Linked DNA regions of Caenorhabditis elegans. The protein of the gene in region 1 purifies or fractionates together with the protein of each later gene. This does not show direct contact. Each region holds a gene or a part of one and is shown on either strand. Other genes may lie near its edges. The genes, in order: hcp-3, fkb-2, rpl-11.1 and cct-7.

The links.
Region 2: the proteins of hcp-3 (region 1) and fkb-2 purify together in Caenorhabditis elegans (affinity purification with mass spectrometry, with the first as the bait; one large-scale study listed by BioGRID). This does not show direct contact.
Region 3: the proteins of hcp-3 (region 1) and rpl-11.1 purify together in Caenorhabditis elegans (affinity purification with mass spectrometry, with the first as the bait; one large-scale study listed by BioGRID). This does not show direct contact.
Region 4: the proteins of hcp-3 (region 1) and cct-7 purify together in Caenorhabditis elegans (affinity purification with mass spectrometry, with the first as the bait; one large-scale study listed by BioGRID). This does not show direct contact.

What each region holds. Positions count from the first base shown.
Region 1 is NC_003281.10:9,612,823-9,620,445, reverse strand, and holds hcp-3 (Histone H3-like centromeric protein hcp-3), read left to right. Parts: upstream 1-3,975; 5' UTR 3,976-3,992; coding exon 3,993-4,084; intron 4,085-4,135; coding exon 4,136-4,382; intron 4,383-4,430; coding exon 4,431-4,733; intron 4,734-4,785; coding exon 4,786-5,010; 3' UTR 5,011-5,140; downstream 5,141-7,623. Other genes in the region: F58A4.6 (DUF4807 domain-containing protein), read right to left, coding at 5,162-5,282, 5,331-5,476, 5,520-5,690, 5,740-5,867, 5,916-5,955; pri-1 (DNA primase small subunit), read left to right, coding at 6,167-6,266, 6,313-6,571, 6,700-6,910, 6,959-7,264, 7,317-7,401. UniProt on the Caenorhabditis elegans protein: Histone H3-like variant which exclusively replaces conventional H3 in the nucleosome core of centromeric chromatin at the inner plate of the kinetochore.
Region 2 is NC_003279.8:12,915,673-12,922,347, reverse strand, and holds fkb-2 (peptidylprolyl isomerase), read right to left. Parts: upstream 3,627-6,675; 5' UTR 3,622-3,626; coding exon 3,424-3,621; intron 3,371-3,423; coding exon 3,242-3,370; 3' UTR 3,068-3,241; downstream 1-3,067. Other genes in the region: pfn-1 (Profilin-1), read right to left, coding at 183-308; fkb-8 (peptidylprolyl isomerase), read right to left, coding at 4,373-4,459, 4,512-4,714, 4,768-4,906, 4,975-5,174, 5,590-5,833.
Region 3 is NC_003283.11:3,582,214-3,589,140, reverse strand, and holds rpl-11.1 (Large ribosomal subunit protein uL5A), read left to right. Parts: upstream 1-3,076; 5' UTR 3,077-3,082; coding exon 3,083-3,217; intron 3,218-3,267; coding exon 3,268-3,483; intron 3,484-3,532; coding exon 3,533-3,772; 3' UTR 3,773-3,808; downstream 3,809-6,927. Other genes in the region: T22F3.12 (Peptidyl-prolyl cis-trans isomerase), read left to right, coding at 1-112; T22F3.2 (Ubiquitin carboxyl-terminal hydrolase 36), read right to left, coding at 395-499, 974-1,138, 1,383-1,512, 1,562-1,724, 1,780-2,022, 2,076-2,309, 2,360-2,501; pygl-1 (Alpha-1,4 glucan phosphorylase), read right to left, coding at 4,352-4,528, 4,589-5,546, 5,853-6,409, 6,466-6,687. UniProt on the Caenorhabditis elegans protein: Component of the ribosome, a large ribonucleoprotein complex responsible for the synthesis of proteins in the cell.
Region 4 is NC_003283.11:1,868,768-1,878,261, forward strand, and holds cct-7 (T-complex protein 1 subunit eta), read left to right. Parts: upstream 1-3,478; 5' UTR 3,479-3,484; coding exon 3,485-3,574; intron 3,575-3,632; coding exon 3,633-4,154; intron 4,155-4,711; coding exon 4,712-5,422; coding exon of another isoform or gene 5,423-5,467; exon of another isoform or gene 5,468-5,736; intron 5,737-6,122; coding exon 6,123-6,407; 3' UTR 6,408-6,738; downstream 6,739-9,494. Other genes in the region: knl-3 (Kinetochore NuLl), read left to right, coding at 447-1,013, 1,067-1,357, 1,421-1,594; T10B5.4 (aralkylamine N-acetyltransferase), read right to left, coding at 1,809-1,967, 2,249-2,363, 2,424-2,662, 2,733-2,933; zig-11 (Ig-like domain-containing protein), read right to left, coding at 7,434-7,606, 9,348-9,494.

The DNA.
Region 1 (7,623 bases):
CGGCCCCCAGTTTTGTTGGTTGGGGTCACAAACAGCTGTGAGTGGAGTGAGAGAGGGAGAGAGTGATTTAAGAAGATTTGGACGCAACGGAGAAACAGACGGAGAAAAGTTTGCAGTTCGCGTCTCGTTTCGTTTCGAGACCTTGTCTAGCGAAGGGGCAAACGTAAACGCTCGTTTCCGATGATACGGTAGGCGCGAGCCAGACAGTGAGTGAGATAAGAGATAAAATAATTTATCGGGGGGAAGACAAAGAAAGCTAAAAGATAAAAAGAAACATAACAACATATGGAATCATAACAAACTTGAGGCAGAAAATCAGAAATCTAGGAAGAACGATATGATGGTCGAGTACAGTAAGATCATAGAGGTAGACCCCCTCTAAAATTGTGGGGACTTACTGTTTTCTACTCCCGCAATTTTTGGAGGTCAAATGGAAAGAGGGTTCACCTGAATACTCGTAATAATGGGTACTATATTAATATTATTAACTTTTTCATAGATTTTTCCAAACAAGAGGAAACTTGTTGATCAAAAAAATGGAACTCTTACCATATGGAATTCAATATGAAACATGTTGCAAATAAATGTCGTCACAGACGCAAGGGTGTGTGTGATTTGACAGAATAGGTCAGGTGTTCAATCGCGACTAGATTTAGATATTGGGGTACACAACCGAAAAAACGAGACGATCGAAATACGTTCGTCGGCGGGACGAGAGATGGGGGAGCCGGGCGCGAAGAGAGACTGCGAGACAAATAGACATATACACAGGCTGACTGACTGGCTGACTGGGCTGGGGGGGGACGACGCTCCGAATCATTTGGGAGAAAAAAGTTTTTCGCGGCGGCGACGACGACGAAGACAGCGGTGGTGGTGGTGGACTGATCGGTTTGCTGCAGCAACACAGGCAACATGGGGTTGAGATGAGAAAGGGAGAAATTGGAAAAAAAAGAGATGGAAAAGAGAAGAAGGAGCTGACGAGAAACACACCACACTCACACACACACACTCACATAAATGTTAAAGGCCAGCAGCAGCGCCTCAATGGTCTTAGGGGTTGAGGGAGCGGGCGCCTCCTTCTCTCTCTCTATTGCTTACTCTCTCATGTTCACTATCTCTCTATATCTCACAATTTCTCTATACTTTTCCTATTTCTTCGTTTCTCTGTAGCTCTCGTCGCAAAAAAGGAGGCGAAGCGCCGAACATATCTCTGCGTCTCTGACGCACTCGTTCGACGATCATCAGGCTTTCGGAGAGGAGGAAACGAGAGAAACGATGGGCACGTGGATGGGCACCGACGGGGTCGGGATGCCATCGACATGTGTTTTTGGTCGGATGATCTTCGAGGTTGAGTTGGCGCCAGGATGTGGAAGAGGATTGGTGAAGGATGTTCGAATCAAACAGATGGGAATATTGGTCACTAGATCATAGATAATTTGCAAGATGTCCATCAGGAACTACACAGTATTGGCTTTGTGGAAGCACGATGCATACACCGCGACTCGAAAATTTTTGCAATTTGCGCCTTATGAATGGCCGTTTTTGTGATGCACCATGAATTAATTGCCTGGTGTGCTTGAGTTGTTCAAACACTTATAACTCAATAACTATGTATAATAGCTAGCAATATACATTAAACTACCTAAATGTTCCAAATTATCTGGTCTACATATATATTAATGTCAAATTTATAAAACTCTATTTTGAAAATAGTTGAAGCTGCTGACATCCGGCGGGCAAGTTCTTGAATCGAATTTCTAAATAGACCACAACTTTGAAACTGGGTGTTTTCATGGAACAAAGTTTAATATGAAAATGTTTTCCATAAAAATGCCTACATTTTGCAATTTATTGTTGTGTAAAAAATTGATCAGGAAAAAGTATACGAAGCATGAAACATGAATTATGAAAGTCTGAGGAGGACCTCAGCTGCTGTAACTTGATCCGAAATAGAGTTATATAATAATTTTGACATAAATAAAAATGTAGAAAAAGTAATTTGCAACATCTGGTCAGTTGAAAATATTTTGCTAACATATCTTTTGAGTTATTCGAACAGCTCAAGCAAATCACTGTAAAACCGTGAACGAATAGAATATTGACCGACTCCGTAGGTTTTGAAATTCAAGAATTCAAATTCATTCAGCTGCAGTTTTGGTTTTTTTTTCGATTTTTTTCCTTATGATTTCTGTGCCAATTATGTACACCTAAAAATGTTTCCTTTCACTGAGAACATCTCGACGCGCTCATAAAATTCAATTGTTTAGTGACAGACGTCACGAAAGCATTTTACGCATCATTGTGATAGTATTCTTACACAGTTTGTCACCCCATTCGTCGTCGCGAATATTTCTTCATGTGTTCAATCTTTTTTTGGGCAGAATGTAGAAAAGAGAGAGACAATACTGCAAAAGTGATATTGAAGAGGTTTCCGTGTGTGTGTGTGTGTTGGTGTTTTGAAAATTCTAAAGACACAGAATTGGAAAGGAAAATGAATCAACACGGAACACGTACACTTTTTTTTGGAAACAAGTTTAGTATTAACTTTGCAAAACATGTCATGTCTATCGTTCTATCGGGATAATGGTATTTGAAAAGAAATAAAAAATAAAGAAAGAAACCAATCAGCGTTTCCGGACTCCGCCCTTTTTGTCTGATTGGTGGAAAAGTGTGCGGAGCAATTTGCTAATTGGTATTGCAGTTCTTGTTTTGGAGGGAATTCAAATTCAAACAGAGCGATTAGCCGAATTTTTTGGCATTTTAGACTTTTTTGGTATTTTAAAATTATAAAAGTTGGCTTATATGTTTTCAACAAGCTTCGGAAAGCTCATCGAAATAAAATAGGTTTGCTAGTTACGAGCCTTTCCTGAATCACTTGGTGTCAGGATCAAGTGTTTCATTTTTCGATTTTTCGCTGTTTTGATGGGAAAAAACATGGAAAAAAGCGGTAATTGAGACGTAGTTTCCAACCATTGTCACTCGGTTAGCAGGCACACTTTTCCGGCCGAAAAATTTTTTGAATTTTTTTAATATCATATATAAAAAATCCTATTTAAAACTATAGATCAGTTATGAGACGTCTCATGAGACCACGTGATTCGAATTGAAAACTTGTGCTATGTCATTGCAGTAGACTCGGCTTATCGAACACTGGATTACCAGGTCCAAATATAAATTTATTATAATTTTTTTGCAGCGAAGTTTTAAGCGTTCTTCGATTATAAGAGAATATTAGCTCTAATTATTATTTCTAGACCTGCTTGAATAATCGCCTTCCGCGCAAGCGGAAGTTGCTGGCGCATCTCTCGTGTTACTTGCACATTTTAGTTTTTCAAAGCGCGCGGAAGCGCGAAAATTTGGTTTTTCTTTTCTAGAATTTTCTTTTGTCTGTTGATGGTGACTCTCAGATTATTGTCACCTAAAATTAGGAATTATTTTGATTTTTTTTCTTTTTTTTTCCTTTTTGTATCAGACTATTTTTACATTTTTGTGTGTTAAAGCTCCAGAGTGTCGTGAAAAACACCGAATCATTGTCTTCTCCGGCGAATATTTGTTTTTTCACTGCACTTTCCAAAGTTATCTCGATAAAAAATTATACAGCTAATCTCATATTATATATTATCGCTGTATGCGAGACACAGCCCAAGGCAGTCCAAGTTTCGTGAAGTTTTGATGGAATATTTATGAAGAATCGTTTTTTTTTCGAAAAAAACAACACAATTGTTCAATCAGCTGAACTAAATTTTTATAAGACCCAAATATTGATTAATTAGGCGACCCCCGGGGTTGAGTCCGTCATTTATGTTGTTTTGTGTGCACTTTAGCGTGATGTCGTCTGCGTATTTCCCTGCGTCTCTCGCCGCCAATCGTTACTTATTTAAACTGCGTTCGCATTTATTGCTTCTTTAATTCCTTTTTAACCTTCAAACAAATCGTCTTAATTTAGCTTCAGTTTTCTAAATTTTATATTTTATCAGGATAATCTTCGAACAATGGCCGATGACACCCCAATTATTGAGGAAATCGCCGAGCAAAATGAGAGCGTCACAAGGATCATGCAACGTCTCAAACATGACATGCAAAGGTAAGTGATGATTTTTGTTTTCGTGCTACAAATTAATGTCTGCTGTTTCAGAGTCACTTCAGTGCCGGGATTCAACACAAGCGCCGCAGGTGTCAACGATTTGATCGACATTCTGAACCAGTATAAGAAGGAGCTTGAGGATGATGCAGCCAACGACTACACTGAAGCGCACATCCACAAAATTCGATTGGTCACAGGCAAACGGAATCAATATGTCTTGAAGTTGAAGCAAGCCGAAGACGAATATCACGCGCGAAAAGAGCAAGCTCGGAGAAGAGCTTCGTCTATGGATTTCACGGTTAGTTTCAATTTTGTATGATTTCAAACAACATAAAATTTATTTCAGGTCGGCAGAAATTCCACGAATCTTGTCGATTACTCCCACGGCCGTCATCATATGCCCTCATACCGTCGACACGATAGCTCCGACGAAGAAAACTATTCTATGGATGGAACAAATGGCGATGGAAATAGAGCTGGCCCATCGAACCCCGATCGTGGTAATAGAACTGGCCCATCGAGCTCCGATCGCGTGCGGATGAGAGCCGGAAGGAACAGAGTCACCAAAACGAGACGTTATAGACCGGGCCAGAAGGCATTGGAAGAGATCCGCAAGTACCAAAAAACTGAAGACCTTCTGATTCAAAAGGTATACAATTTTTACTTTATTTAAACTATATTAAAACAATTCCAAATTTCAGGCTCCGTTCGCACGCCTCGTCCGCGAAATTATGCAGACTTCCACTCCATTTGGCGCCGACTGCCGTATTCGTTCTGACGCCATCAGTGCTCTTCAAGAAGCGGCGGAAGCATTTTTGGTCGAAATGTTCGAAGGATCGTCTCTTATATCCACCCATGCGAAACGTGTCACACTCATGACAACGGATATTCAGTTATACAGACGTCTCTGCCTTCGACATCTCTGATAACAATATTTGCAATACTCATTTTTCGATCTTCAAGCCATATTTATCTCATCAATTTTAGCGCTGTTTGATCTTTTGTGTACCGTGAACACGTTTACTATTTGTCAAATAATAAAGATTCATTACTTGTAAATGAGAACATTTTATTTAATCACTTGTTCGAACTAGCTTTTCCGAAAATATGAATAGCTCGAAGCTTCTGATAGACTCCTTCGCAGCATCTTTGTACAATATCCGTGTTCGGATTCTGTTTGGCCCAGTGATAAATTGCTCTGAAATTGACCACGTAAATAAGCCTTTTCTACTTTCAAGAATCCAACCTAACAATATTAACAGCATGCGAGAGATTTCCGAGTTGTGCTTCTGCGAGGGCGGTATACAGGTAGCATCGTGCAAGAATAACTGGATCTCCATATTTTTTCGCTAAGTTGATTTGATGAGCAGTAATTTTTGCAGCGACTTTCGCCTGAAAAGCTAGCGTTAAACTAAAGTGTAAACTGATAACTTACATAATTTGCATCGAAATCTCCCATAGCTGAATAAGCGCCACCTAGAGTAGACAAGTTCCACATGAGCTTTTCGAGATCAAGCATGTATCGGAAATGGTGTTTCAAACGTCTTTCCCAAGCATAATCGAGATTTTGTGCCGGATTTTTCACTTGGATGTTGACAAGAAGTTTCTGAAGCTTAAATATAATAACTTCTGGCAATAGAAGATAAATTAGTTACCTTATCGACGGGAATATTATAGAAGGCACGTATTTGAGCAAACGAATATTCTTCACGACACTGGAGAATATTCAAAAATCCGTACAAATCGTCCAAATTCGTGAATTCGAATACTAGTGATTGGGTACCTGCAATTATTTTATATTAATTAATTATTTGCTTATCTGACAGCTTACTGGTCGATGGAATTTCCGTAGAATGTTTTATTGAATTCATTTGTACACTGAAAATGAGTATAGAAATGGAGAGAAAATGGTCTTTTAGAGAAAAATAAAATAATGCAAACGCGCCCTGTTGTACACGCCGCGAAATTGGAATTTAAACCAGTTTACCGCACTACATATGTGCCTATTTCTTGAGGATTTCATCTTTTTTTAGCTTGAATTTCAATTGAACCAAATATTTATAGTTTTTTTTCTTTTCAGAAATGTCTTATAACTCCATCAGACTTCCACAAGATTTGCCAATATACTACAAAAACTTCTTCCCAGTCAAACCATTCACAAAATGGCTCCGCTACGGACAAAGTGAGTTTCGAATTTCGATTTTCTTAACGAAATTTGAAATTTGCAGATAACGGAGACTATTTCAACCGCCGAGAATTCGCATTCATTCTGGCAGATGACGTTCATATCAGATATCGTAGTTACAATGACGAACACGCATTTTTCAAAGCACTTTCAAGTACTAACCCGGAAAAACTTGATATTGGAGCTGTCTACAATCACGAGCCAATTAATAACAAGAGACATACAGATTATCAAGCTGTGGAACGAGAATTGGTTTTTGATATCGATTTGACCGACTACGATCCAGTTCGTAATTGTTGCAAGTAAGAGTTTACGAAAATCCCGTTTCCGCGTATCTCTATTTTTATATTGATATATTTAGCAAAGATAGTTATTTGAGGGCATTATTAAGATGATCTGTAACCCACTTTTCGATTTTCTAATTTTTCAGAGATGCCACCGTCTGCCCAAAATGCTGGAAATTCATGGTTCTCGCTGTTAAAATCTTGGATTTCCAACTGGAAGATATGTTCGATTTCAAAGCACGAATGTGGGTCTTCTCTGGTAGACGTGGAGTACATTGTTGGGTCGGTGACAAAAAAGCGAGGATGTTGAACAATTATCAAAGATCTGCAATCGCGACCAGACTCAATTTGTTCAAGGTTCGAGAACTTCTTTGTCCAAATTAGAATAAAAAATTCATTTTACAGAAAAATGGCCAATGTGAGGTGACTGAAGGTCGGGCCAAAATGACGAAAGTTCCGCCGATTGTGCGTGACGCGTTTAACGTTGCATTGAAAGATGGAGTTTTCGAGAAGATGATCTATGACCAGGGATGGCTGGATAAGGAAGATTTTATCACAGAGTACAAGTTTATGTCAGAAGTAGGCAGAGATGACTTGCGTAGCCTTTCCGAGACTTACAAAACTCCACAAGAACGCTGGAACATGATTCGTGGGCTTTTTGATGACGACTATCGCAAATCGCTTTCTCCGAAGGACGGTCTTCTCGATTTTGTAAGTGGAAGCTTTGAGATAACAGTCGGAAAATAGATAAATCAATTTTCAGAAAATGCAAGGTCGCGACCGAAATTATCTTCTCTACTTTGTTCTTCAACGATGCTATCCACGTCTTGATGTTAATGTATCTACAGGTGAAATGTTTTTTACATATTTAAAAATAGTTTCAAAATCAAAAAGAAACTGTATAATTTCAAAAAATTTCGACATGCATTCTTGAAAGTGCACAGATTTATTCAGATGGGCCTCGGCGCGAAAAAAAAATACAACCATTACTTTTTGCGCACCGAGACCCATCTGAATAAATCCGTGCTCCTTTAAGAAGGCATGTCAAAATCTTGGGAAATTACGATAAA
Region 2 (6,675 bases), on another chromosome or scaffold:
AAAGTGAATAATTTCGCGAGATTTTCAGTTTTTTGGGTCAAAATGCGAAAATTCCAACAAAAATCGACCCCGCTAGCTCTTTTCAATCTCAAAAATGGGTCAATTTAAGGATTTTTCAATCGTTTCCAGTTTTAATCGATTTTTTCTCGAGCTTCTTCGATGATTTTCGTCCATTTCCATACCTTGAACACATTGTCAGCCTCAGTACGAGCCCAGACAGATCCATCAGCGGCTCCGACGATTGCACACCGTTTGATTGATGGAGCAGCGGCAGTCATTGTGTCGATGTAGGCATTCCATCCGGACATTTTTGTGTTTTGGAGGAGGTTGAAGCGGAGATTATACTGAAAAAATAAACATAAATTATGATTGAGATGGTTGGAGGGGTAATGAGAAATGATAATATGAAGAAAGAGCACAAATTAGGAGAAAAAGAGCATAAAATCGCTTGAAAATTACGGTTTTTGTAAACAATCGATTATTTTTTGATTTACTGCGCAAAAAATGGAATTTTAATGCCGAAATACCCAAAAATTGATATTTCCGCAGATTTTTTGCTTATCTGTGGTGTAAGTTGGTGGCGAAGAACTTGCGAATGGATAAAATGACAAAAACCAACAAAATCTCACTAAATTCACAATTTTCTCGCCAATGTAGTGCAAAAATTGAGCTTCTTTCATGAATTTCTTGGAAATTTTCTGTGAATTGAGCCGATTTAAACCAAAATTGGCATTTTACCTAGAGTTGACCAATTTTCGATGATTTTCAGACCATTTTCAGGCCAAAAAGGCGGAATTGAAGCTCGAAAACACCGAAAACTACCAAAAACTACGAAAATAGTAAATATTTCGAGTTTCAGATGTAGAAAACTTGGAAAAATTCAGCTTTTGGAAGATCTCGCCTCGAGAAATTAGGACCAACTTAAGGGAGAATTCTTTTTAAAAAAGCAACGTTTTGAGGCGAATTTTCAACTACTAGAGGATTTGAACTATCTAGAGCAATCTGAGAATTTAATTTCACAAGAAAAATGGCATAAAATCGCCAGATGACCCAAAATTGAGAGAAATTAAAGAAAACTTCCAATTTCAAATTCCGAAAGATGAAAATTGCTACGAAAACTAGAGGACATCTTTGACCACCCGGAACACTCCATCTAATTGGCTGGGCAAATGGAGAAGCAGTGAATGACAGTGAGGAAAAGCAATAGAGAGAAGAAGAGAAAGAGAATGTTTGCATGCCATCTGGTGCTCTCCTTCTTCCCCTTTTCAACCCGAACAACGAGCTTGTGCTCCTGCTCCTGCCTGCTTGCTCCGCTGGTCAGTTATTCACCCATAAAGGACGAAAAGAGAGACAGAGACCGCCCATCAAATTGAATGTGTGTGTACTACTAAAAGAGGGTGAAATAACCCGCCTCAATCCATACTAATGTCAAATGCAGTTGCAATTTATATTGAACACACAGACCCAGAGACACAACCAAAGCCAATGATGAATCATTTTGAAGAGAACACAGCGAAGACGACGGAGGAGAAAGAGAACCAAAAGGCGATAGAAGACGAGTTGCGAAACAATTCAATTTGAACAAAGCTTTCTAGCTTTGAAAATTGCGAAATTGAGCGCTGAAAATGGATCTTAATGCCGAGAATGACCAGTGGATTGCGAAATTGGAATGGTGAGTCACATGGAACAGCAGGTCGCCAAAAATCGTCGAGGAAGCTTCAAGTTGTTATAATATTCGCAGTTTTTTCTGCCAAGGAGATCTGAAAGTCATTTAGAAGAAAAAAAATACATCAAAATGCTCAAAAATCATAAAAATATTCGAAATTTTGATGATCGAAGCCCCAAAAAAGTCACGAAATAGTCAAAAGAGCCGCGAAAAACAGAAATTTCGTAGCATTGGCCGGATTTTTCTATAAATATTGCAGAAAACCCGAAGATTTTGTCAGTAAATCGAACGAATAAACTCCAGAAAGCGGAAAATGGGGAAAATGGGGAAAATTTTACATTTTTCTACAAAACACTCACTGTGAGCTGAAATTTCATCAAAAAAAATAGGAAAATTGAGAGTTTTCTAGTCGAAATCTTACGCTATGTGATAATTTTTATAGCTTTTTTATTTTTCTCGATTCACGACGTTATCGGATGCCGAAAATTGATAAAAAACTCTTTCTGAATCACCTATTTCCGCTCCTTCCTTACAGTTTTAAAGCAAGAATGGAACGAACTGAACTTTCCGGAAGAAAATAGGGTGGAAATCAGGAAAATTAGCGAATATTTGCTAGAGAATGAGGAAAATATATTCTGGCAATAACCGAGACAAAACGCGGAAAAAACTGCTGGAAATATCAATTTTGGGAGAAAACGCGAGAATTTTGTGAAAAACCTGCGGAAAATCGGTAAAAACGTCACAAAACCGGCCAAAAAAGTGGAAAAATGAAGAAATTGTCATCCTCTTCGACCAGTTCTCGAAAAACACGACGAAAATTGGCGGGCAGATCAAAAAATTGAGGTCAAAAATCTTTTTTCGCGATCAGAAAATTTTGCGCGTCAAATGGAATGCATCGTACGCAACTCTGCGTACTTAGGCGACTACCGTACTCTTAGCTAAATTCTGCTCAATTTTCGCTGGCTTTTGCCAATTTCTAGTGGAAAAACGTCGGAAAAACTGAAAAATCAATTTTGGAGACAAAAAAGAGGAGATTTTTCAAGAAAAGATGTGTAAAAATGGCGAATTTCAATGATTTTTAAACCATCCCACTGGGCGGAGGAATCTGAAATGATAAAAATAACTATGAATCATCGAAGGGGAGGCGTCTTCCGCCTCTCGTCTTGTGTATTTCTAATGAACAGGAGGCCTGAATTGTTTCGAAAATGGAGAACAGATGGTCTTCTGAGAAAGACGGGCGCTACGCAAGGATCGCCCGCGCACACAATTACGAATGAATTGTGAGGCAAAAAAGTGAAAAAGAAAAGAATAAAAGAGTAAAATTGGCAAGGTAATCGGAGATTTCGACTTCAAGGACACACAAACGCCACGTCAACACGCACAGAGAAAAACCATTTTGTTTTTAAAGATTAAATAATTTATGCTACTTAGATAGGAAGAAATATTTAGTTTACAGAGAAAATTAAGGGGGGAAAAAGAAAGAAAACTTGGAATCATTAAAAAAAATTGATATCATTTATGGAGAGGTTGCACACGGCAGCTGCTAAAACGGAGCTGCAAACGGAGACGGGCAGCTTAGTTGACTCCGAGAAGCTCGACCTCGAAGACGAGAGTTGCGTTGGCTGGGATTTGTGGTGGAACTCCGCGTGGTCCATAGCCAAGATCGGCAGAGATGGTGAGCTTCGACTTCTCACCAACTGACATCTGAAAGAAAAGTTGATTTTTTATATTGAAATTGAGCTAATCGATGGACAAACCTGGGCGACTCCTTGGTCCCATCCCTTGATGACCTCTCCCTTTCCAATCTTGAACTTGAATGGAGTTCCGCGGTCGCGAGAAGAGTCGATCTTCTTTCCGTTCTCAAGGGTGAGCACGTAGTGGCAGGTGACGGTCTGACCGTTCTTTGGCTTGGTGACGTTGTCGCCCTCGACGAGAATCTGTCTGTCGACGCCCATTCTTGCTAAAAGAGGAAATATTAAGATTTATAACTCAGAAATAAAGAGAAAATGGCAAAGAAAAGGAAGAAATTGTTCAAGGGCGAGTTCAAGTTGTTTTTAGGCCAAAATAACAATTATTTTTCAAAAATCGATAATTCTGCCTCGAAAATAAGGTTGCTTTTCTGATTTTCAGTTGATTTACTGATTTTCTTGATAGAAAACTCCAGAAGAATGGCCTAAAACAGGAAAAAACCGGCAAAGTAAACAAAAATCTGATGACCAGAGTTTTAGCCGATTTTAGGCCAAAATAACACTGAATTTTCGAAGAACAACTATTTGTCATTGAAAAGTGGGCGTCTGACATGATTTTTTCGATAAGAAACTCTGAAAAATGACCAAAAATCGGTGAAAAACAAGCAAAAATGGGTTGTTTACGAGGCGAGAGTAAAATCGAACAAGGCGCGACACTGTTCGTGGCGAGATATCGCTGCCGCGAAATTGCATGCGCCTTTAAGGTAAGTGTCTGCGTCTCTTCAGAGAAATTTGTTCTTTCTCGGAAATCGTTGAAAATGAGTTCTCTCGATAGAAATAAATAAAAAAACAAGGAAATTAATAAAATTTCAAAGCATTTTAATTAAAAATTGAAATTTATGGCAATCGTGTCAACAACAAGTGAACAAAAATTAATACCATAGTTTTGATTTTAAACATTTTTCTCCTGGCTACGGTAGTTCATAAAGTACGCAGCATGTATCCAATTCGTTTTATTTTACGCTGGGATTCCTGCTGGCAATTTGCCTTTTTCAAAGCCAAAAGCCGGAGCAATCGTGAGCTTCGACTTCTCTTTGACTGACATCTGAAAGAAAATTGAATTTTTATATTGAAATTGAGCTAATCGATGTACAAACCTGGGCGACTCCTTGGTCCCATCCCTTGATGACCTCTCCCTTTCCAATCTTGAACTTGAATGGAGTTTCGCGGTCGCGAGAAGAGTCGATCTTCGTTCCGTCCACAAGGATGAGCACGTAGTGGCAGGTGACGGTCTGACCGTTCTTTGACTTGGTGACGTTGTCGCCCTGGACGAGAATCTGTCTATCGACGCCAATTTTTGCTGAAAAAGAGGGAATATTAAGATTTATAACTCAAAAATAAGGAGAAATCTACCATATGAGTCCCATGAGCAATTGAACAGCCTAACTTTGCAAGTTAGGGAAGCGTTTCGAGGAATCAGTCCTCTGAACCCAGCGCGGCCGTAACCATATTTGCCACTCACGTGAAATGTTGCGATTTCACCGACTTTCATCTGAAAGAACATTGAATTTTTATTTATAAAAATTGAGTTCTGCAAAAAATCAATAAAAATGTACATACCTTAGGGATTCCGATATCTAAACCAGGAATGACTTCACCGAATCCAATTTTAAAGATAATCGGATTTTGGCTCTCGTAATTGGACCAAGATGTGTAGCAATCCGCAAGCTTAATTTCGATGTAGCACTGAACAAGTTGCCCATTCTCTGGCATTACACCATTTCCAGCTTTGTCAACTTGATGATGAATTCCAGTTTTACCTAAAAATAAATAGAAGATTTCTGATTGAAAAATAAGAAAAGTTTTTGTAATTTATATATCTTCTACACTCCAAATAACAAAAAACTGCGTGGCGTGTACTGCAGAAAACCTAATATTTAGTTAGGCCCCGCATTTTTCTCGTCCACTCACGGAGAAAAGGCAAAAATCGGGATTCCAACCAATATCAGGCCGCCGACATCTCACGGAGACAACTTGCCACGCCCACAGCGAGTTAAACGCAGCGGCGCGCGGTACCCGTGAGATGTCGGCGGCCTGATATTGGTTGGGTTCCGATTTTTGCCTTTTCTCCGTGAGTGGACGAGAAAAAGGCGGGGCCTAAATATTATGTTTTCTGCAGTACGTGCCACGCAGTTTTTCATTTTGAGTGTACATTTCACACAAAATGCGAATTACCTGGTTTTTCGTGCTCACATGAAGATTTTTTGTGGACTACGTGATCCCTCAAGTGTTTTTTCATTCCTTCGTGATTGAATGTTCTCATCCTGCATAGAAGACATCCGAATTCCAGTTCACGAAATGGGATCCGTTTGTATTCGTACTCATTGTACGTCGACACAATGAATTGTCCGACGTCTGGGTTACTCCAAGAAGGTAAAACAGAGTCATCAGTGCTTGCTACTCCATTTTGGTCCTTCATTGTTCTACATCTGATGTTGCTTGATATTGTTTGAAGCTGTTCTCCTTCTTATTATTTCGCGATGTTATCGGATACTAAAATTTATGTTTTTTCAACTTGATTCGAATCAACCACTCCATTGCAGTTAAGGAGCAAAGCGAATCATTTCAGAGAAATGAGAAAACTTGAATTTTTTTTCGTGATTCAGAAAAAGAGCAGATTCTTGGTTACAAATTTCCTCTCTGACAATTTTCAAGAAAAATTGAAAAAAAATGCTGAAAATTCTGGGTTTTGTGGAAAGTGAGGATTTTTATGAGAAACTTGAGGAAAATCTCAAAAATGCCAGATTAAACAGCAGCTGATGAATGGTCAAAAATCGTCGAGGAAACATAAAGTTTCTCTAACTTTTGGAATCGGCGAAAGATACATTTTCACATTTGGAGCAGGGGTGGACGGCTAACTGTTTTTTTCGGCTAACGGCAAATTCGGTTTAAGCCGTGTTTCGAAATTTTAGACTAACGGCTAATTCGGCTAATCGAGAAAAGCGGCTAACGGCTAAAATTGCTGCCGTTTGCATCTCCTCGTAAGGCTTACACTATTTTTTTAAAATATTGTTTTAACTTTGCATATAAATTGATAATTGGAACCATGTGTTAAGCGGATTTCTCAAAGCAAAGAGTCACGGGGAAAGACGACAATTTTTCTTACAGTTTCATCGATGCGGAAAAATCTGTTGAAGCTTAAAAAATGAAACGCTGATAACACATCGAACTCCTACAAGAAGTTGTATTTCCATTGTTCCTTAAAAGCTCTAGCTACGGCCTGAGCCATTATCAAAACATGTACTTAAAATTGTCTTTCAA
Region 3 (6,927 bases), on another chromosome or scaffold:
ATTCGATGTTCTGGATGCTATTGAGAATCTGGGAATTCTGGAAGGAAATGGGCCGCAGCAGGGCAGGACAAAGGCCAATATTGTGATTGCTAATTGTGGTGTTTTTGAATAAATAAATAGCAATTAAACAAAATTTGATGATTTTCTAATCGGCAATTCAAAAATGAAAAGGTACGCCAGAATTAATAAAAAGAGAGAAAAAAACATGTAAAACGGGATTGAACAACAATGAAAAATACTGCTAAACGATAGTACAGTACTAAACGGGTGGGGAAGGGGGGCAAACAAAATGTATCACGGAACGACGCTACACGATTTCAAGGTAAAAATTTAAAAAAAAAATAGGGTACAGCTATGAGTGGGGGGAGGAACTAAATAATTGCAATTATTTGAACTAAATCATCGACTTTTCATTGCCAACGTTGGCCAGGTGTTCGCGCCGCCTGTAGAGCACAATGTAGGATTGAAGAGCATCTCGTGGATTCGTGTGTTGGGAGACCTGAATAGTAGATTTATTAATAGTTAACTGGGCATTCCAAAAAGGAAAAAAACAACAAAAAAGGAATGGGCCGAACCGGGGATTGAACCCGGGACCTCTCGCACCCAAAGCGAGAATCATACCACTAGACCATTCGGCCACGGATAAGTATCCATCGGGAAGCGAAGGACGTAGAAATGGTAAGAAATGATTCTTTATTAGTCATTTGAAGCAAGCATGCTTTACGTCTCTGGCTTCCCGCTGAATATTTATCAGTGGCCGAATGGTCTAGTGGTATGATTCTCGCTTTGGGTGCGAGAGGTCCCGCGTTCAATCCCCGGTTCGGCCCTTTTTTTTAAATGGAGTTTCATATTTCTTCGAATCTCTCCGGCGTGATGTATCTTTTTGCATAATCGCATTGTGGAATCAATGTTCTCTCTCTCACTTGTTTGAAACAGGAGAACTAGAAGGTCACATTGCCACACGGAACCTTACCGATGAATCATTCAACGTCACGAACTGCTCCTCTCGTTTTCTCGATCGAGCCACACACCAATAGTGGCCGTAGTCCAGCGTAGTCCCACCATGGATCACAGCTCCGCACAGCTTATAGACGGTGGATGCGCCGGCGGTGGCCATACTCGTCACATCGAGAGTTTCCTGAAATCAAAATTGAATTTTTTTTTTGTTGCTTAATTTAACTATTTTTACCCATTTTTCCGAATTTTTAAGCACAAATTATTAATTTCTATTCAATTAAATGACTTTAAACACTTAAAAGTGCGGAAAAATAGGTGAAAAACCATTCGGATAAAACTGTGCGGCGGAGTTGCGAAATCGCGCGCCGCGGATTGCGCTCGCGACTCCGCCCTTTTTTCCTGTGCCGTTTTCTTTAAAAACTAACATTTAAGGTGACAGGCCGAGAGATTTTCTTCCCCCAACCATCAAACGAGAAGCGAGAAATGTGCATTAGCAGGATCTGTGGAGCTCGGAGAAGTGTGGGCTTCACTGGCGCGTCGGATTTCTTTTTGCACCTGAAAATTGGGGAATTTTGATTGGAAAATGAGTTCGAAAATCCAGTACTTTGAGCAATTATAGCCGAATATCTTGGATTCCGTGAACAGAGCCTGCATGAGTTCTTTAATGGAGTGGCTTTTGCCTGATGGATCCTTTCTAAGCATCCGAACCGTCATAACGGTGTTGTGCTCATAGTAGACGTGCTTGTTCTTGCACCCGGGGCATTGAACTGGAAATTAAAATTATTTTCTTTAAAAAAAAAATCAATAAAGTGCTTCAAAAACCTTCATTTCTTATGGAATATCCGAACAAATCATCGGCCACTTTGCGGCCTTTCAGACGAGGATTGCTCTGCACCGATATCTTATCGAGCTTCCCCAGAATCGCCAGGAGAGCATCATGAGCGTCTTCCTGGCGGCCTTGATTGAATTTTCGATCTTTTTTGAATGCTTCACGGAACCAATTGATAGTTCCAGCATGGCCATGGCTTTGAAGGAAGTTTTTCTTCCAGTTGCAGCAGAGACAAGCTGAAAATTAGCATAATTGCGAGAATATTTCATAGAAAAATCATAAATCAAACCTGTATCTTGGCATTGATGATCCTGAAGGATCCTTACAATTGCCGGAACATGCGATAATAATTGAACACACGAGATCGCATAGCAATAAATCGACGGATTCTGGATTCCCTTTTCCGGATAATTCTCTCTCAATTCTGACCAATTCCAAGCGTAGAGACTGCTGACGAGTTCATGATTATCCAAAATCTCGTTTCCCCGGTCTGAAAGCGTTCGTGGGCGATTTGCTCGATTTGCTGCAAAAAACAAAATTAATCAGATTATTCGCAAATTTTCCAAAGCTTACATGGTGAATCAGGCGTTTTTCTATTAACTTCAATTTCAGGAGCTCGGGGTGCAGGACGATTTTGTGAGGAGGATGATGGAATAGTATCGAAATTAATCCATCTGTTCGTTTTGAACGAATCCCAACCCTCATTTACTGTCATTCTGTAACAAAAAACGTTGAAAAAAAATTAGAAATTCAATTCAAAAGAAGAAATTTCAAGAAAATATAGAAAAAATCAAGAAAATTCAAGGAAAACTTCAAAAAAAAAGAGCGAAAATCGGAAAAAAGCTGAATTAAATAATTAAATTCGAAAATTAAAGGCACACACCATTTTCGGGACCACGATATCTCGGCACGAAAACAAAACCGTACCCTCGAATCCTAAATCGGGCCGAAAATCATTTTAATTCGAGGTTTTTTTTTCTGATTTTTCGAGTTTTCCTCACAAAATGAGAGTGGTTTGTCGTTGTTTCGCCGTCTCTGTCACCCGTTTGTGCTGTTCTATCGCTTGCCCGTTTTCTCTGCCGTCTCTTCAGCGCATGCCGGTGTGTGTGTGTGTGTGTGCGCGTCGCTCCTCCCATTTTCGTTGTTTTAGGCCTAAAATTTGAATATCTTTCTAGGATCTCAAGATGCTAATTTTTTATCGGCATTTTTGAACTTGTGTCTATGCGTTTCTCTCTACTTGTTCTCGCTTGTCACAGTTTTCAAATTTTATGTATTTATGCTTTTTTTCAGGTAATCATGACGGACGTCGAAAAACAGACGGAAATTCGCGAGAAGAAGGGCCGCAATGTGATGCGCGAGCTCAAGATCCAAAAGCTCTGTCTCAACATTTGTGTTGGAGAGTCTGGAGATCGTCTCACCCGTGCCGCTAAGGTATTCCAATATATTCTACAGTAATTCGTAAATTTTCGAAATATTTTCAGGTGCTCGAGCAGCTCACCGGACAAACCCCAGTGTTCTCCAAGGCCCGATACACCGTCAGAACTTTCGGAATTCGCAGAAACGAAAAGATTGCTGTTCATTGCACCGTTCGTGGACCAAAGGCTGAGGAAATCCTCGAGAAGGGACTCAAGGTCAAGGAATACGAGCTTTTCAAAGAGAACTTCTCTGACACTGGAAACTTCGGTTTCGGAGTTCAGGTTAGCTTAAAGTTGAAGTGTTCAAAAGTGATGATTATTTTGTTTCCAGGAGCACATTGATCTCGGAATCAAGTACGACCCAGGAATTGGAATCTACGGAATGGACTTCTACGTCGTTCTGAACCGCAACGGAGTTCGAGTTTCCAAGCGCAGACGTGCACCAGGACGCATTGGACCATCCCACCGTGTCGATAAGGAGGAGACAATCAAATGGTTCCAGCAAAAGTACGATGGAATCATTCTGCCACCAAAGCCAAAGGTCAAGAAGAACTTCTTCCGTCGTCGTTAAGTTTTTCTATTTTCTGAATAAACTGTTGTTATTAAAAATGAAATTGCTAATGTTTTGTTAAAGTTGTGAATCATAGTCTGATTGTCGTGGATCTGAACTTCAACTTCCTGGAATCAATAATTTTACGTTGCGAATGGTCTTCTGATGTAGAAAGTTCAGGATATTTATCCAGGAATTTTGAAAACTCATCGAAAAGGAGTTTGGTATTTTGCTAACGAGCTGGTCGTAGAGGTATCGAAACTTCTTTGAAGATCCTTCAGACAGCCATAATTTTTAATTAAATTTCAGCATTTGCAGATTCGAGTCAAAATTAAAAAAAAAAAGTTGATATTTTCAGTCAATTTATCATAAATATGCAGGGCAGACGTGCAAATAGACAATCTCAAAGTATGGCAACACATTCGGGGGAAGTACGATTATTGGACTGGGGGCAGAGAGGACAAAATCAATTTGATCTTGAAGATTCACAAGAATTATCGGGGGAGGGAAAGGCTTCTATAAAAATGCTATAAACTAAATGGGACGGAGAGGAGGGGAAGTTATGGCGATAATTAATTACAATGTTAGTGCATAGAAGAATTATTCGCTCTTCTCATTCTCATATGGTGCTGGAAGAGAGCTCTCGAACTGGTCGATTCCCCAGATTTCACGAGCGTATTCGGTGATTGTGCGATCTGTTGAGAACTTTCCGGTCGAGGCGATGTTGTAGAGGGCCATGCGAGACCACTTCTCTTGGTCGCGGAATGTAGCGGAGACCTGAAAATAATTTATTTTGATCAGTAAAAATTTGAATTAGTTGAATTTTTTGAGTTTTACCTTATCCTGGGCTTCAATGAAAGCGTCGAAATCGGCGCACACCATGAAACGATCATGATAGCGGAGCATGTTGGAGAGATCCTTGAGCTGATCTGGATCTTCTGGAGTGAACATGCCACCTTCGATTTGCTCGATGATCTGCTTGAGCATTGGGCTCTTGTCGATGAACTCCTGCGAAGAGTATCCGCGCTTTGTGAGCGCCTCAACCTCCTCGACGTTCATTCCGAAGATGAAGATGTTCTCGTCGCCCATCTCCTCGGCCATCTCAACGTTGGCTCCGTCGAGAGTTCCGATTGTGAGAGCTCCGTTCAACATGAACTTCATGTTTCCGGTTCCTGAAGCCTCGGTTCCGGCGGTCGAGATCTGTTCAGAGAGATCAGAAGCTGGAATGATCTTTTCAGCCATCGAGACACGGTAGTTCTCGAGGAAGATGACCTTCAAACGATCACCAACGATGGCATCATTGTTGACTTGTTCGGCGACGGCGGTGATCAAACGAATGATCTGCTTAGCCATATGGTATCCTGGAGCAGCTTTTCCTCCGTACAACACGGTACGCTTAACCATATCGATGTTCGGGTTCTCCTTGATACGATTGTAGAGAGCAATGACGTGGAGAATATTGAGAAGCTGTCTCTTGTACTCGTGGATTCTCTTCACATGCACATCGAACAACGAAGCGGCGTTCACGTTGACATTGTACTCGTCGCTCAAATACTGGGCGACTTGTTGCTTGTTCTCGAGCTTCACACGACGAATCGAATCGAGGAACCCGGCATCGTTGGCGTACTCCTTGAGCTTCTGAAGCTCGTCGAGATTGGTGATCCACGACTCGCCGATCTTCTCGACGATGAGGTCGGCGAGAGATGGGTTGGAGAGAAGAAGCCAGCGGCGTGGTGTGATTCCGTTCGTCTTGTTTTGGAAGCGATCCGGGTAGAACTCATAGAAGTCACGGAAGCTGGAAATGGATGATATTAATTTTTTAAAATGGTAATTTTGCAATTTGCGCGTAAGAAAAATTGGGCGGGCCGGGATTGCAATTTGCGGCGCGCGATTTAGCAACACCGCCGCACGATGTTTTTTCTCTTTCTGTCCGAATTTTCAATGACAAATTATCAATTTTTCGTGATTTTATCGAGTTCACATATCGAAATCTTTCAAAACATCATGCGAAAAACAGCCAAAATAAATTCGTGCGGCGGAGCTGCAAAATGATGCGTCGCCCATTGGTTCTAGCGCCAGGTTTCAGAGCATTTTCGCTTACGTGGAGCTCTTGAGAAGATCCGAGTGAAGAGCCGCGACTCCATTAATGGCATGAGAAGCCACAATGCACAAATGAGCCATATTGATGCGCTTCTCGCCGAACTGATCGGCCTCCTCGACAATCGACATACGACGCATACGGTCGAAATCTCCTGGGAATCTCTGCGAGATGGTGTTCATGAACTTCTGATTGATCTCGTAGATGATCTCCAAATGACGCGGCAACAAATTCTGCATAAGCGACACTGGCCAGCGCTCGAGGGCCTCTGGGAGCAAGGTGTGATTGGTGTAGGCGTAGGTCTTGATGCAAATGTCCCAGGCCTGATCCCAGGTGAGTCCCTCGACGTCGATGAGGAGACGGATCAACTCGGGAATTCCGATCGATGGATGAGTGTCGTTGAGCTGGATGGCCACCTTATCCGGGAAGGTCTCGAAGTTGACACGGACGGCCTCGCGGTTTCCGTAGATGGAGGACTTGAAGCGGCGGATGATGTCCTGGAGGGTGGCGGCGACGAGGAAGTATTGCTGCTTGAGACGGAGCTCCTTTCCGAGGAACATCTGAAAATGTGGGGAAATTGATTTTTTTTTTCTGCCAAAATCTAGCTCAAACATACGTTGTCATTCGGGTAGAGGACACGAGTGATGTTCTCGGACAAGTTACGATCCATCACAGCCTGCACGTAGTCTCCGTCGTTGAAGAACTTGAGGTGGAAATGATTTTCGGCTTTGGCGGACCACAAACGAAGCGTGTTGACGATGTTGTTCTTGTATCCGGGGACTGGTGTGTCGTATGGCATGGCAAACACAACTTGAGTGTCGATCCATTTCGATTTTCCCTGAAATAATATATTTTTTAATGAAAAATAAAAAAAGTAAGCGAAAAAAAGAAAAAAGGAATGGGCCGAACCGGGGATTGAACCCGGGACCTCTCGCACCCAAAGCGAGAATCATACCACTAGACCATTCGGCCACGATTAGATACGTGAAAGCTGGTGATGAAGAGATATCGAATCTTATTATTTCTCGCAATCAGCCAATTATCGATTATTGTGCATCTTGATTGCTTCCAAACACGA
Region 4 (9,494 bases), on another chromosome or scaffold:
GCAAACGCGCAAGCGACGAGAAATGCGTCAGTGACGGGGTTGGCGCGGCAAATTAACCCCGCGAATTTTGAACGTGACCCCTTCATTCGGTGGATTTTGGGCCCAAAATTTGCGATTTTCTCTTATTTCCATTTCATTTGCGGCAGTTTTTTCCGGAAAATACACGAAACTGGCTTATTTCAACATGAAAATCCAACTTTTTTAAGCGAAAATTGTCTAAAATTGAAATAAAAATGCAGAAAACGGGTTTGTCTATCTGAAAATAATGTTTTACGGCATTTTTCGGCAAACTGCAAGCTTTTTAACAAAAATGAGTTTTATTTTCAAATAGAAAAACCCGTTTTCTATCAATTTTAGATCAAAAAAGTTGGATTTTCATATTAAAATAAGCCATTTCTTTGTTTTCAACGTTATTTTCTCATTTTTAATCACTAATTCATTTCAGAATGTCTCAAAAATCAAACGACACCACATTCTCGGTCAGAGCCGCGCTCTTCGCATCACCCGTCGGCTCATCATCAGCAGTTCCAAAGAAGAAAGTGGCTCGAGAGGTGCCACGTGCAGGGCCGCCAGTTTTTGCCCTCGAGCACGATGTTTCGGAAGTCACCGACAGAAATAAAGACGGCACCTTTCTGGCTGCAGACGCGTGCGCTAGTGGCCCTACTTTGAAGGTTCCAGACGAAACACAAGGTTGCCCAGAAACTTTCAGTGTTTCGGAACACGAAGATGACGACGACGTTGAGCCGATGGAAGTTGATGGAACCATCGTTCCGTCGCCCCAGCGAGCAACGCCGACACGTGGCGTAACTCCTTGCGAAAAATCGACGACTCCACGCAGAAGATCCTCGAGAAAGTCGATGCCAACGCCTGGGAAGCGTCTGTTCTTCACCAGCAAAGACACTACGAACGAGGATCGCAAGGCTGATGACTCGACGCAACTGGAGCTTCTGATGGCAAAGATTCCGCAGGAGATGTCGGGTTACATGAAAAAGTTGGCCACCGACATCAAAGAGGTAGTATTATCGATTTTTAACTTTACATTTAAATCTAAAATTTTCATTTTCAGATGAGCCAATACGATGCACAGCTGGCGCGGAATATCGACGACATGGAAGCGGTTTTCAAATCCCGCGAAACTAAGCTCAAGTCAGCTATTGAAATCGCCAAGGACAGCTTCATCTCGTCCGCTCTGCCTCTTCGCCTCGAGACCCTGGACATGACTCTGCGTAAAGAAGAATCGCCAAATGATATCGTTGCGAGACTTCACGGAAGTTTTCTCGACAAAACCCAGGATGCCGGAAACGTGAATACTGCACAAAAGGAGAACCAGCAGCTGGAGGATGAGCGCGGGATGCTGGTGAGAGTTTCAAATTATTTAAATATGATTTTTAAAAATAAAAATACAATATTATATTTCCAGGAAGAAAAGCTGGAGAGTCTCAACAAGATCAAGAGAGAGAAGGATGAATTTCTGGCGAAAATGCGAAAAGAGGAAGAGGAAGCGCTCGCTCGCCGGGAGGAAATCAAGCAGGGCTTCGAGCGAATCGATGCTCTAATGAGCAAAATCAAGCCGATTCCAATTTTTGAATTCTGATTTCTGATTTCTCACGCTCTGTATAATATTCTATTTCTGACACAATTGATTTCATAAATACATGTATAATATTTTATTCATAGCCTAGGTCTTGCTTATTAAGTGTCAATTTCATTACGTGTACTTTAATTATTGGTTTTGAGTATCTGAAGTTGAGATCCTAGCTGCTTTGGTCCTTTATAAATATATGTTTCTTTAATTTGAGTTGCTATCGCTATCGAAGGTCGTCCTCTTCCTCCTCATTTGCATGTTTTTCTAGCTTCTTCCCCATTAGTTTCCCGCTGACTCCACCGTCGACGAGGTTCTCGAAAACCACGTCGCCATTGTTTCGAAAACAGGAAAATGGCATTTCGCGAAGTGTTGTGAGACCACACTGGAATTTTATTAGTTTTTGAAGCTTTTAGATCGAAAATTCATCGAGGCACCACGGATTCAAGTGCCAACGCAAAGAAACGGGCCAGATCCGATATCCCACCGGTTCTAGATTTCGTGGTGCCTCAATTGGTCTTGCCACGTGGTCAAAGGTCTCGCCACGCTTCCGATGTGGTGTGTGTGCCTTTAAACACGGGTACTGTATTTTTTATAGGTTTTCTGACTTTTCGCTCTATTTTTTTCGTAAAAAGCGGAAATTTTATTGAATAAGAAACTACTATCCTTGCTGAAAATATTCTGAGAAGCCACAGCAGTTGCAACGGTTGCCACGTACTCGCAATCTTCCTTCACAGCATTTTCCAGACTCTTCTCGACGAGCTGTCTTCCGATTCCCTTCCTAAATTGAGCACAATTCCCTAGGAGAACAAGAAAAAAAAAGAAGAAAATTGCTTCCTACCCTTGACAAGCCTTCGACACGCACAGCACATCGATTTTGAAGACTTTTTTCGGATTTCCAGTCAAAAACGACAAGTCTTGCTCCAAAACCTGCACGAATGCCACCAACTTGTTGGCATTTTCGTGTTTGTACTGGCCATTTGTGATTTCTGCGTTAAAATCCCAGTGTGGATTGAATGGGGTCGATTCGGAAACAAAAGAGCATTCTTTGACGGCATTCAGGCAAACTGCCACGATTTCCTGAACACTTTTTTTTCTAGAATTTGCGGGAAGCTAGATTAAATCTGAAAAACAAAAAACAAAAACCTACTTCCCCATCAAAAACCAGAATTGAACTTTTCTCATCTTCCAACCCGCTCATCGTCAAATCAACGAAAAACTCGGCGACATCTTCTTCCGAGCAGCTCAATGAAGTTGTGATGGGCTCCATTACTCTAAAATGCTCCACCAGGAACTTGTGAACTTGGTCCTTGTGCTCCAGGAGCCCAGTTTGGAATGTGAGCTCCGGCATTTGCAGAAAAAAGCGAATAAAAATAAAATAAAAGAAAGCAAAAGTGAAAGACTATTCCTCGAGAGCTCTGTGAGCCCTCACTTTTTCTCTGAACCTCCGAGACAACACGCGTTACATTTGCATTTTCACCACACATATTTCCCATGCTTCCAAGTATTGACATTTTCCTTTTCCTGCTTTTCTACTTCTCCCCTTCCTCACCGAAGTGTCTACTCGACGATTATGGAGCTTCTGAGAGCTCTGCTTTGCAATATTCTCAATGGAGCGCATTTGTGGCTGGTGGCCGTGGCCGCGAGCCGCGACGCAAGCACGCGCCGCTCCTGGGAATTGTTTCGAGAAGGAATATTTTCGTCGGACTATTTCTCGATTTTCATCTGGATCTTTGTGAATTTTCCAGATTTTCTTCATTAATATAATACTTCTAGACTTTCTACACATTTTAACATCAAAATCTTCGAATTTTGTCTTCTCTGCCCTCGTTTTAATCGCTCTTAATATTTCAAAATATTATACTCGTGCTTTAAAAATTAATAATTCAAATTCAGAGCAAGATGATGCGCCCACCAATTATCCTGCTCAAGGACGGAACTGAGAACAAGCAGGGAAAGGGTCAGATCATTTCCAACATCAACGCTTGTCAAGTTAGCTTCTAAAATTCTAAAATTTAGTCAAAAATGCCTAAAATGCTGTATTTTTCAGGTTGTCGCCGACAGTATCCGTACCACCTTGGGTCCACGTGGCCTCGACAAGCTCATCGTCGATAGCAAGGGAGCCACGACGATCTCCAACGATGGAGCCACAATTCTGAAGCTTTTGGATATTGTCTTCCCGGCCGCCTCCACAATGGTTGATATCGCTCGTTCTCAAGACGCTGAAGTCGGAGACGGAACCACGTCTGTCGTCGTTTTGGCCGCCGAAATTCTGAAGCAAATGAAGCCATTCATCGAGGACGGTGTCCATCCACAACTTCTCATTCGCGCCATCGGAAAAGCTTGCGAGAAGACGCTGAAGAACTTGGCTGATTTGGAAATCAAAATTAATGGCGAGACGGAGCTCCGTGAGATGCTTGTGAAGTGTGCTGCAACCACGTTGAGCAGCAAGCTCGTCAGTCAAGAACGGCTTTTCTTCGCCAATATGATTGTCGATGCTGTGAACACGTTGGATGCTCATCTTCCATTGAACATGATCGGAATCAAGAAGGTCAACGGAGGAAATTTGCACGTTAGTGAATCGAAAAGTCGTCTATCACGCGGTGTTTTGTCTTTCCACTGAAAATTGCAGATTTTTCAGCTTAAAAATGTTTTTCTCTGCATTTTACTAACAAAGCAGCTTTTTTAAACAGTGAAAATCGAATTTAAAATGACTAAAATGAACTTTTTTCGTCCACTGGTTGAGGAATGGTTAGAAATTGAAAAAATCAACGGGATTTTTCTTATTTTTTAAATATTTTTCCATTAAAAATCGATTTTAAACCATTTTGACCCTAATGTTAAGTCACAAATGGTTTAAAACCGATTTTTAATAGGACAATATTTAGAAAATATGAAAAATCCCGTTGATTTTTTTTTCAATTTAAAATCATTCCTCAACCATTGGACGAAAAATGTTCATTCTAGTCATTTTAAACTCGATTTTCACTGTTTACCAAAAGCTTTGTTAGTAAAATGCAGGAAAAACATTTGTTAAGCTGAAAAATCCGCATATTTTCAGTGGAAAGGCGAAATACCTCTATTTTAATTAATTAATATTTATTTTTAATTTAATTTTAAAAATTTCAGGAATCCCGTCTCATCAAAGGAGTTGCCTTCCAAAAAGCGTTCAGTTATGCTGGCTTCGAAATGCAGCCAAAGAAGTACTCCAATGTCAAAGTGGCTCTTCTTAACATTGAGCTGGAGCTCAAGGCAGAGAAAGAGAACGCTGAGATGCGTCTGACCAACGTTTCCGACTTCCAAGCTGTCGTTGACGCTGAGTGGAATATTCTTTACGATAAGCTTCAGAAGATTCACGATTCCGGCGCCAACGTGGTTCTCTCGAAACTTCCAATCGGAGATGTTGCTACCCAATGGTTCGCCGATCGTGACATGTTCTGTGCTGGACGAATTCCACAGGACGATCTTGATCGCTTGATGTCCGCATGCGGAGGAAGCGTTCTCACCACAGTCTCTCAAATCGACGACTCTGTCCTCGGAAAGTGCGGAAAATTCTACGAGCAACAAGTCGGAAGCGAGCGTTACAACTTCTTCGAGGACTGCTCAAAAGCTCAGGCATGTACGCTTCTTCTTCGCGGTGGAGCCGAGCAGTTCATCGCCGAGACCGAACGATCTCTTCACGACGCTATCATGATTGTTCGTCGTGCCAAGAAGAACGATTCGATCGTCGCCGGAGGAGGTGCCATCGAGATGGAGTTGAGCCGATTGATTCGTGAGCATTCGAAGGGTATTGAGGGCAAGGATCAAGCTTTCTGGATGGCTTATGGACAGGCTTTCGAGGTAGATATTGAAGAAACTGGTGCTAGTATAAATATGCAGAAATGAACGATTTTCGTGATGAGACAGTTCAAAATCTCGAAAAACTGGATTTTTTTGCTAAAATCTTTAATTTCTCCAACTTTTCCGTTTTCCAGTTGCTGGAAATTAAATTTTATTCGATTATCGATCTTTATTGCAGGTTTTTATCGTTTTTCTTCAGTTTTTTGTTGGCTTAGGCAGCCCTCAAGCTGTAAGGCTGCCTATTGACTCTAAATTTGCCTTAAACGAAGAAAAAACGACCAGAATATGCAATTTAATCGCATAAAAGTAAATTTTCAGCCGTTTTGATACGGAAAAGTTGGCAAAATATATGATTTTTGCGAAAACTGACCTTTTTTCAAGATTTTAAACAATTTCTGTTAACTTTCAGACCTATTTTGAGCTTAACTTAAAATGTGCCGAAATGAAGGAATTTTGAAAGTTCAAAATCTTGAAAACCTGGCTATTTTTAGTCAAAACCCCGAAAATTGCAGGTTTTCGTCGTTTTTCTCCCGTTTTTTAGGTTAGTTAAGGCAGATTTCAAGCTGTAAGTAATAAACCAACTAAAACATAACATTTTTTAAAGAAAAAATTCTTTGTATTTTTGAGTCGAAGAAACCAAAAAATCCATTTTTTTCACCAAAAACACCCAAAAAAAAAGCTAATTTCCGAAATTTTTCAGATCATCCCACGCCAGCTTTGCCAAAACGCCGGACTCGATGCTCTCGACGTGCTGAACAAGCTGAGACATCGTCATGCTCAAGGCGAGAAATGGGCCGGAATCGACATCCATCGTGAAGCCGTCGGAGATAATCTTGTCGCATGTGTCTGGGAGCCGAGCATCGTGAAGAGGAACGCCATCACAGCTGCCACCGAAGCCGCGTGCCTCGTTCTTTCGATCGATCAAACGGTGAAGAATGTTCGTACACCATCTGGAGGAGCAATGCCAGGACTTCCCGGGCAATAAGGAGATCAATGTGCCCCTCTGTGCATTCGCTGCTTTCTTTTGCTGTATTCAAATATTCAAATTTTGCGCAATTTTTTTTTAATTTTCTTCATAATTTTTGTTTGTTTTCTATCATTTTCATTAAACCTTTTGTTATGATCCCCCGTCTCTCTCTCTCTCTCAAACGTTCTCATCATAGCTTCTTGCAAAAAACTTTAAATTTTTTCTCAATTTTTCTTTTTCCCACCGATTTATTGTCCACCACCCGCTTGTTTTCTCTACCGCTCCCCGTCGTTTTCGTTTTGAATTTTCTGTTTGAATAAGTGCACTTTGAAAAAATTTTAATTTCAGTATTTCAAAAAAAAAGAACCATTAGAAAGAAGGTCAAACCTTACCGGAAAAAGCAGAAAAAGCGGAGAAGTTAGGTGATGGGGGTGGATACCGGCTTCAAAGTTGGGGGGTGGTGGGTGGGGATTAAGATGCATATAAAATGTCGCAAAAACACCTACTTTTACATATAAATCGGGGAGAAAAGTGAAATTTCTTGAATTTTGAGGAGTCACCACGGATTCAAGATCTATGAGAACGAGATCTCTGAAAATCGAGGCAACAATGCTCCGATTATACGCATCGCGCGCGTTGTTTAGCGTGTTGAGAATTTTTTTTTTGTCCTTTTTTTTGAAAGAAAAATTTCTGGAAAACGATAAACAACGCGCACGACAAGCGTAATATCGGAGCATCGTAAAAATGGTAGATCACAGAATCCCACAGGATCTTGACACCGTGGTGCCTCGAAAAAAGATTAAAGGAACATATAAGTGTGGGTGGCAGTGAGGGATATCGGGGGGTAATTGGTGGAGCTTTTGAGCATTACAAAATTATGAAAAAATTACGAAACAAAAAGTGGTGACAGGATGTCCCACAACGGTGGTTTGATCAACAAAAAAATGCGGGAACTTTTTTCACAGAAATTAATATTTCCTAAATTCCCGCGATTTTCGGAGATCAAAACGACATGGGACATTCTGAAACCCGAGATGAAAGAAATTAGACGCTATTCTTCAACGGCACTTGATCGTTGTGAAGAGCTCGCTCACGATCCGCCACGTTATACTGATCAGCCTTGTACTTGGCACATCGCTGGCACGTGAAGATGACGAGGAAGAGCAGGAGCAGGATGATGAGAATGATCGCAAGTGGCAGCATCCATCCGTAGGAATCTGAAAAATTGATTTTTAGGAAAAAAAAACATTTTTTTTGTGAAAAACAAGAAAAGAAAATCGAGAAATTGTCAATTTTTCAAAAAAAAAAAAATTTTTTTCTAAAATTGTTTAGCTGAAAAAAAAGTTTTTTCCAATATTTTTGCAATTTAAAATTTTTTCAAATGAAAATCGGGAAATTGTCGATTTTCAACAAAAATTTATTTAATTTTTAGGTTTTTTGAAAAAAGTTTCGAATGAATTTTTTTTGCAATTAAAAAAATTAAATTTTTCTTTAATTAAAAAACAAGAAACAAATTGAGAAATTGACAATTTTCAAAAAAATACTTTTTTTCAAATTTTTTAACTGAAATAACGAAAAATTGTTGGCTTTTCAAAATTATTTTTACTTTTTTTTTGAATTTAAATTTTTTTTTCAAATGAAAAACCATAAATCATCAATTTTCCGAAATAAAATTATTTTTTTAAAGGGTATCTGCAAATTGTGCGAAAGTTGGTTTTTGGAGGAACAGTTTTCTTATTTTCGGATTTTTTTTCAGAGTTAGTCGAAAAATCGAAAAACCAGAAAAAAAAACAGAGTATAATTTTCTTCTATCTATAAATAAGAAAACGGGACCAAAAATTGAAGCTATTGTTGAAAAAAAAATTTTTTTTTTTTCTAAAATTTTTATAGCGCCAGTGGAGAAATTGCTTTAAAACACGCCTATGGTACCACAATGGCCAAATATCACGATAAAAAAATTCAAAAAATTTTTCTAAATTTTATAAGGTTTTTTTGAAAATTGGAAAAATCTTAGTTTTCCCCCTAATTCCTATTTGAATTAACGCCAATTGGATTTGTTCGATGGAGCGCGCTTGCACGTTTTTAAATTTATTTATTTTATTTTTTGTTAATTTCCACCGATTTTCAATGTTTTTGGTGTATTTTTGCTTGAATTTTAGAGAAAAAGTCAAAATAATTGCAAATTTTCGATTAAAAAGCACGCCTGCAGGCGTAAATCTATGAAATTAATTAATTCAGGTTTGAAATCGTTTAAAAACGTTACTTTTTTTCATTTTTACGCCTGTAAGCGTGCTTTTTAATCGAAAATTTGCATTTATTTTGACTTTTTCTCTAAAATTCAAGCAAAAATACAACGAAAACATTAAAAATTGGTGGAAAATAACAATAAATAAAATAAATAAATTTAAAAACGTGCAAGCGCGCTCCACCAAACGAATCCAATTGGCGGAAATTCAAAAAAAATTAGGTGAAATTGTGATTTTTCCATTTTTCAAAAAATCATATAAAATCTAGAAATTTTTTTTGAATATTTTAACTATTATATTCGGTCATTGTGACCTCATAGGCGTGTTTTAAAGCAATTTCCCCACTGACCGTAGTCCACCTTTAAATTTAAATTTTTTCTCGAATAATTTTTTCACGGGGTTCTGGCCTTTCTCATTGAATTTTCGCGCTCCATTGGCAATCGCCTGCCGGACAACGCGTGGAAAAGTGTAGTGTACTCCACATGGACTACACAAAATCTCGCGGACTCAAAATGGCCTAGTTCGGCAAACTCTGCCATTTCGATTTATGAGGGAGGCCAGAATTCCGTGTTTTTTTTCGACGGAAAAACGATAAAAGTTTAAATATCTAAAATCGGAAAATCAATTTCTAAAACATTTTTGTCCTATTTCAAAAAAAATCCTTTTTTCTGTATTTTTCGTCCAGCAAAACATCAGAGGGCTCCATCAGTACCTCCGATTCGCAACTCCTGATCGAGTTTCACGGCGAAATGTTGCTCGGGTCCGTCGATTTGCACAGGGAACTGGTTTGTTGCCTCGCAACGGTACACACCGGCGTCCTCTTCTTGGGCTCCTTCGATGCTCAACACGCCGGCCGTGA